Linked DNA regions of Nothobranchius furzeri. The protein of the gene in region 1 purifies or fractionates together with the protein of each later gene. This does not show direct contact. Links are inferred from orthologs where the notes say so. Each region holds a gene or a part of one and is shown in the gene's direction. Other genes may lie near its edges.

Region 1 (3,654 bases):
GCTCTGTGACGTCTGTACGTAAGCGGTAGTCTAACGCTGTTGGTTCGTGCTGACTGGCGCTCACTTCATATTGCATTGAGCTAAATGGGATAGGGGCGGGCTTAGCAAAAACAAAAGGAGTATATCCTACATTACATCACAGCACATAAGACGATCACTTTTATAGATTTCTGGAAAGTCATATAGAATTCCTGAAAGGGGAAAATTCCAGACAGCAGCTCTAATTTCATGGTAGAAAGTGTGGAGCTGAGAAAGGACCGGAATGTTTGGCTGACTGGAGAAAAAGAACCTTTTTTTAACTTTTGAAAAAATTAAAAGTCTAATCCGAATGACAAATTTTGAGTTGTCTGAACAAAGTGGTGCACAAAAGAGTAAAACTACCGGTACAGCCACTCGGTCCAAACCCAATTCTTCCCCAAGGGGTGGCTGGAAAATAGCTGTGTTTTGGATACGCCAAAGTCTAAACTCTCCAAAGGTTACCAAAAGGACCATTTTGGTGTGCCACCCCAAAACCTTCTTTGTTTGGCCACCCTTAAAAATGTTTCCGAGTGCGCCCCTGTGTAGCGGCTATTTCAGTGTCATAGTAATTTTCTACGCTTTAATTATGGCTGTTCATTCCACTTTGTAAAAACTGTAATAAATAAATAAATAAATCAAATATAAAGTTCTGAGAGTGGAAAAAAAAATCAGAGAATGAACAAATAAAGATTTGAACATTTTTTATAACTGAACTGAAATAAAATTTTCGAGCTGAAAGAAAACACTTTTTTTTCACGTACATTTTTTATGTTTTTGGGTTTTTCACATTTTCAGTTTAAAAGCTGGCATTCAGCTTCAGTTTTAACTTTTTCAATTTCAAACATTTTTTCCCACAATCCAAACTTTATGGCCCTGCCTCGGGTCCATAGAAACTATTTACTCATAACTCTTTGTTTATTAATTTATTTTTTGTTGCAAATAAAAAATAAAAATCTATTTTCAAACAAGAAATCACAATATTTTCTCTTTTTTTGTTTTAAATCTCATTTTTTGTGCTTCATAAACTGTTTAAACTTGGCAATTTTGGCTCAAGTCTATAAACATTTTGTTGTAAATGACATTAATAATGGTGAATAACTAACTTATCACTAGGATTGTGAACTTTTGCTTCTTTGCTGGTGATTTTTGCACATTTAGCCGTATTTGTGTTTGCAGGTACTCTTTAGGTGTGAGTCAGGAGGAAATTAAGCAGGAGCTGCATGAGTACTTACCCTCACTGGAACACTGGGCCAACGAACACCTCTGCCCTACCAACCCTAAAGCCATCAGCCTTAAAACGTTGGTACAAGTCTTTCATCAGCGCTGAGTGGGAATAGAATCAGTTTGAAATGTCCTGACCTTTGACCTCCTAACGAGCTGATTGTCTCCCAGCAGCCAGGGCCAGGACTCGGCTTCTGTCTTCACAGTGAGTGAGCTGGCAGACATAGAGGAGAACGTCTGGTCCCCCAGATTTGGCCTCAAAGGGAAAATAGACGTGACAGCTAAAGTTCAGATCCAACGAGCGCCAAACAGCAGCCGCAGAATTCCTGAGGAGAAAACCATCCCTCTGGAGCTAAAAACGGGAAAAGAGTCAAACTCCATAGAGCACCGCAGTCAGGTTGGTGGACTCTCGTCGGTAATTTATTGTTATTTAAAGTCTGGTTAATGTGGTTTTTGTGCATCTATTTACAGGTAATTCTGTATACTCTGATGAGCAAGGAAAGATACAATCCTGTCGTCGGCCTTCTTCTTTACCTCAAGACTGGAAACATGCACCCGGTCGCAGCCGGTCACATGGACCACCGAGGTACCGGGAGCCCAGATCTGTCTGATTCCCTTGGAAGCTGTCTCACATATCGGCTGCTGCAACCTTAATACGATAAAACTTTGTTTTCCCAGAGCTGCTGAAGCTGAGGAACACTTTGGTTCGTCACATCAGCAGCTGTGTGGAGAAGGCGGCTGATCAAAGCCGCCTTTCCAGACTTCCTGACATCCTGACGGACAGACAGACCTGCAAGTACTGCCCTCAAAGGCTGAGCTGTGCTTTATATGAAAGGTAAACAGGAAATTTACTTTTTCTGCTCTCTCCTGTCGGTTGTATTTGTGTTGGATCATGTGCCTTCATCCGCGTTTCAGAGCAGTGGATACGAGCTCTGCAGATGCCAGCGAGGAGGTTGTGCGTACTTTTCTTCAGCAGGAGACAGGTCACCTGACTCTGCCTCATCTGAGCTACTTCTCTCATTGGCTGCTGCTCTGCTGCCTGGAGGCGTCCACCATGGAGGCTAAGAATGGCCGAAAGCGTGTGTGGCTGCAGTCGGTTGAGGAGAGGTGCCGGATAAAGCTGGTTTTAAAACTTAAATAAAATCGAGCGCAGTAAAATATTTTTGTTTTAGTGAGAAGACGGGCAGCTGTGTGGGGAATCTGCAGCTCAGCGGCCCGGTGGGGCTCCAGTCCGACGGTGTCTTCCTGCATCGTTTCCAGCGCAGCAGCGTAGCCTCCCAGCAGGGCGTGACCAGATGCGGTCTGACCGGCGGAGATCGCATTGTCGTTAGCGATCAGGAAGGACGCTTTATCGGCTTGGCGACCGGGTACCTCTGTGAGGTCAGCAGAACATCAGTCAGCTGCACTCTGGACCGGTAACAGCAGATTCAAATGTTTCTGTTATTAGAGATTAGAAAAAATGTAATAATATATCTGCATTTTTGTGGTTTTTAACTTTAACAGAGACCTGACAAAGTTCAGCAGGATGTTTTTTCGACTGGATGGTGTTGAGGGAGTGGTGGGCCTCAGCACGCATCTCAGTAATCTCTCCAGACTGATGGAAAACAGCCAGAACAGGCAGGAACTGGGAATTATGAAGATTCAACTGGTTCATGGAAACTTATAAGATGGTCCTTTTGTTTTAAAATGGTTTAATGTTTGTTCTTTTAATGGCTTTGTGCAGCGAGCGGCTGAGGGAGCTGGTTGTTGACCTTCGTTCTCCAGAGTTCATCACCAACCTCAGCTCTGTTCTGCCCAGAGAGGCTAAAGACGCCGTAGCCAACATCCTCAAAGGTCAAGAAGCTTTTTTTGTCTTTTTTTCGGTTTGCTCTGTTTTCATTGGAGCTAAATAAGCTGAATTACGTTCACACAGGTCTGAACAAACCACAGAAACAGGCCATGAAGAAGGTTTTATTATCCAAAGATTATACACTGATCGTTGGAATGCCTGGCACCGGTAAAACCACAACGATCTGCACCCTGGTGAAGCTGGAGCAGAGCAAAAATGACGTTTCTGTAGAATAAACCAGCACACTGACACGGTTTGCTCCCAGGTTCGGATCCTGCACGCGTGTGGCTTCAACGTGCTGCTGACCAGCTACACCCACTCCGCTGTCGACAACATCCTGCTGAAGCTCAAACGTTTCCGGGTCGGCTTCCTGCGTCTGGGGCAGGGACAGAAGGTCCGCCTCCATCTGATGTAGCCTATAAATCCCTGTTTTGTCATCTAAAAGCTACGTTTGGTCTGACTTCTGTTTTTTCAGGTTCATCCTGAGATCCTGCCATACACGGAGGAAAGTGTGAGGAAGAAGAGGGACGTTAAAACGCTCTCAGACCTGGAGCAGCTTTATAACAAAGAGGTGAGGAGTTTTATTG
Region 2 (3,654 bases), on another chromosome or scaffold:
TTCTGTTGCCACTCATCATTGAGAAGATGGACTCGGACATTCAGAGTGCAAAGCTGGATTCACTGCAGACTCTTGTGAGACTGACTACAGCCGCAGCTTAGAGAAGAATAAGCTAAAGTAAGATGAAATGTGACTTTTATGATGATTTGTCATCTCTTTATATTTGATCTGTTTCAGGCTGCTTGCGGGTCAAAATATGATCACAGAGACTTGGCTGAATTCCTCCAGGGACTGTGGACGTCACTGCGCAGAGAGGTCTGTAGTGTTTTACAAAGTTTGAGCCGTTTTAGTTTAACCCTGGCTTTCCAATGGATGCATAACCATTTTAGCCATGAGCACCTTTCCTACTGGGAGTGTTTCAGGTGCAAACAGCAGCAAAAGAGCTCCACACAAATGGTCCGCAAAGTCACTGAAGGACCGGAAATTGCAAAACCACACATTAGATTTCAGATAGATGGCAGCATGTATCCGAAAAGGTCTGTGGTTTATTTCCTGTTTGCCTCAGCTTTGGAGGTGTTACAGGTAATGACGTACTTTTACTAGTTGATCAACTGAAAATCTGCAAGTGACTTTTATTTTGAAAGTTTCTGGATGTTTTACCCTGCTTTTGTTCAACTTCCTGTCTGACCCGATCTGAACTGCTGAGCTTGACATGTTCTGGAAGCGTAGTGTATAAAAAAAATTGAAGTATTCACAGCATTTCTGGGACGCTTTGCGGCCGGTGGAAACACCCATCCACTATAACAGCGGCTAATTGCTTCGTACTACACTTCGCTGACGTTGCGTGACGCTTACACGTCTGGTGGAAAGGCCCGGTGAACAACCCTTTTTTTCCACCCATTCAATGCTGCAAAAACTATAATTTAACCTCTCACATATTTATTTTTTTTCCCTTTTTGTCCCACATAAAAGTTTCAGATCAGCAAACACATTTCAGTGTCAAAGACAACCTGAGTAAACACAAAATTGAGTTTTAGATGATTTTTCACGCTGCCATCCAACCAGACGGGGGCTGGGCAATAAATTCAATATTTATCATTATCAAAATTTCGACTTTTATCATGATCGTTTTTTCCACAATAATAATGATAATAAAAAATGAAAAAGGTGTGTGTAGGTTGGCAATGTCCCTTTAAGATGCTGTACCACCTTGAGTCATGTAAAAATGTGACTCAACATAATGCACGTGACGATATATGGTGATGTTGATTTTAGGCCAAATTGCCCAGCCCTAAACCAGACTGTGCCATAAATAGTAAGTAAGTACATTTTTTTTATATATAGCACTCATCACAGACATAGAAACACAAAGTGTGCTTCACATAAAACAAAGTCATAAAATCATAATGATCTCAAAACAGAAATAGATTGACATCAGAAAACATAAAATTATAAAATTTCATAAACAGAAACAAAAGCCCCATTCCCACCTGTACCGGGTCGGCCCGGGCCGGGTAGCATAGGTTGTTTACATATCTGGGTGGCCTGGAATTTTCCCGGGCCAACCAAGGCTCATTCTCGGCCCTCTTCCCGAGGGGTACTGCTTCAGGCCGACCAGGGCCAACACGCCCACTGCTGACAGCAAATTCACACCTTCCATTAGAGCAAGCCTCTGATTGGTGGGTAGAATCAGCCCACATGGGCTTAAGGCAAGGATGTGTGGAATCAACCGGGCCAGGCTGGGGCCGACTGGGGCTACCCGGCCCGGGCCGACCCGGTACAGGTGGGAATGGGGCTAAATAGAGACGTTACTGTGAAACCCAGCCTCTTCACTGGTGTGTGTGCTCTCAGTACAGCCCCGTCTCCGTTTCCTGCCTGCAGGTGTTTCAGACATCCAGTGAGAAGATCGAGTCAGCAGCCCTCACCGCTCTCACCGCACTCACTTCCTGTCTGTCTCGCTCAGTGGTGAACTCTGATTCTGAAGACACCCTCATCACCCTCCTGGATCTGGTTCTAACAGGTGAACCAGTTCTTTAAAACGAAGGCTCCTTTTACAGGCAGGGTTTCATTAAAACCGTCTAATTAACAGCAGTGCAAACATCTTTGTGACATTTTCCCAGACTGTAAACATCATCTGTGCGAGCCCGACCTGAAGCTGGTATGGCCCAGTGCCAAGCTGCTACAGGCTGCCTGCAGCGCCTCCAACAGGGCGAGCCACATCATAACAGCTGCTGTCATGCCCTCTCTCATCGAGCAGTACAACAGCAGAACACAGGTCAGACCGAGAATCCGTAGTCATGTGTAGAGCTTTGCTGTTGTCATGGTTACTGAGTCATAAGCTTCTCTTAACAGTGTTCTCATAGACGTACGTTGTTGGAAGTGGTGCAACGATTCATCAAGTCAGTGAAAACAAACACGTCTTCAGATACCGGTGAGTTCATCATTCCTCTGATTTAAAGTTGAAACCGAGTTTATTTCATTCAAATAACAAACACTGATAAGACTCTTGAATTTTCACAAAGTAATCACTAGATTTACTCTTTCAGCACCTCGTGATTCACTTTGATTATAGGTCAGAGGATTGCAGTGTGATTATTATTCAGGCATATTTCCACCCCTCCCACCTTTTTATTGTCAAATCGATGTATTTGTACAGACCCAAAAAGAGTGCATCTCCAATAGAGCTGTAATTGTGGAGAAAGATCTGAGCAATAATGTTGATCAAGTAACTGAAGAGTTACTGCTCGCTCCCATAAAGGAGGATCAGTTTTGGATGCACTAGTCAACCCTGCTGCAACAACGAGCTAACACTAAGTGAGCCACAAAGTAAAAGATCCACCCTGTTGGACAAAAAATATTATGATTTACAAGTCCATTAGCAACAAAGCCAGGTCACCATCAGTCCGTGATGTCGTAGCCTCCTTTAGCTCCCTCAGACTAGCGTAGGCTGCACCAAAGTTCACTCTGGTTTTAGCTCTTTGCTTCAGCTCCAAAGACATTTTTGCTCTCTTACTTTTACTTTCAGGGTCCTCCATGATGCCAACAGTAAACTGTTATTGCCATAACGGCAGATAGAGACCTCCCACTAGTGTTCCAGCCTGACCCATTAAACGGGTTCTGCTGGTTCTGGTCAGCAGAAGGCTGTCTGATGTGATGTGGCTGAAGTTTGTGGCTAAAGTACCACTGCAACCAGTTTGAAAGCAATGGTTTAGCGTGTTAAAAACCTTTTAGTGTTAAAATGAACAAAATCTGTTCTTATATTTAAATCAGTTCAGAAACATGGACATCTTCCAGGGATTGATGGGACTTAAATCGCATGATCAGGCTCAGCCATCTCACACCAGTGGCATGGATGTAATTTTCACTTTAGAGGTGGGGGGACACGGGGGAGTGTATCTACAGTATGCTCTAATGGGAAACAGGCTTCAACACAAACGGTTGTTTTCCGCTTGGTCCTAGAGCTCAACCAGTGTCAATTTAATATAATATATATATATATAATATTTTTGGATGGTAAAAAGTGCAGGGGTCAAAACTTGACTTTGGAAAAAGTGGGGGGGGGGGGGGGGCCCATCTCCCCCCCCCCCCCCCCCCCCCCCCAGATTACGTCCATGGCTAGTGGTCTGTATAAAGATGCACATAACTTGTACCCATCTCTGGTGTTTGTAGATGAGAGTGTGCTGTCAGCGTACAGAGCTGCTCTTTGCAGCATGG

Evidence for each region.
Region 2: the proteins of dna2 (region 1) and mms19 purify together in Homo sapiens (affinity purification with mass spectrometry; 3 studies listed by BioGRID and IntAct, counting the BioPlex papers as one, with this or other methods). This does not show direct contact. The link is inferred for Nothobranchius furzeri from reciprocal best matches to the Homo sapiens genes DNA2 and MMS19.

The regions. Positions count from the first base shown.
Region 1 is NC_091749.1:53,953,861-53,957,514, forward strand, and holds part of dna2 (DNA replication ATP-dependent helicase/nuclease DNA2), read left to right. Parts: intron 1-1,194; coding exon 1,195-1,317; intron 1,318-1,410; coding exon 1,411-1,636; intron 1,637-1,710; coding exon 1,711-1,825; intron 1,826-1,917; coding exon 1,918-2,074; intron 2,075-2,154; coding exon 2,155-2,346; intron 2,347-2,411; coding exon 2,412-2,654; intron 2,655-2,742; coding exon 2,743-2,856; intron 2,857-2,962; coding exon 2,963-3,072; intron 3,073-3,151; coding exon 3,152-3,261; intron 3,262-3,332; coding exon 3,333-3,461; intron 3,462-3,542; coding exon 3,543-3,638; intron 3,639-3,654. UniProt on the Homo sapiens protein: Key enzyme involved in DNA replication and DNA repair in nucleus and mitochondrion.
Region 2 is NC_091756.1:28,167,445-28,171,098, reverse strand, and holds part of mms19 (MMS19 nucleotide excision repair protein homolog), read left to right. Parts: coding exon 1-74; intron 75-177; coding exon 178-255; intron 256-1,821; coding exon 1,822-1,960; intron 1,961-2,060; coding exon 2,061-2,215; intron 2,216-2,292; coding exon 2,293-2,371; intron 2,372-3,609; coding exon 3,610-3,654. UniProt on the Homo sapiens protein: Key component of the cytosolic iron-sulfur protein assembly (CIA) complex, a multiprotein complex that mediates the incorporation of iron-sulfur cluster into apoproteins specifically involved in DNA metabolism and genomic integrity.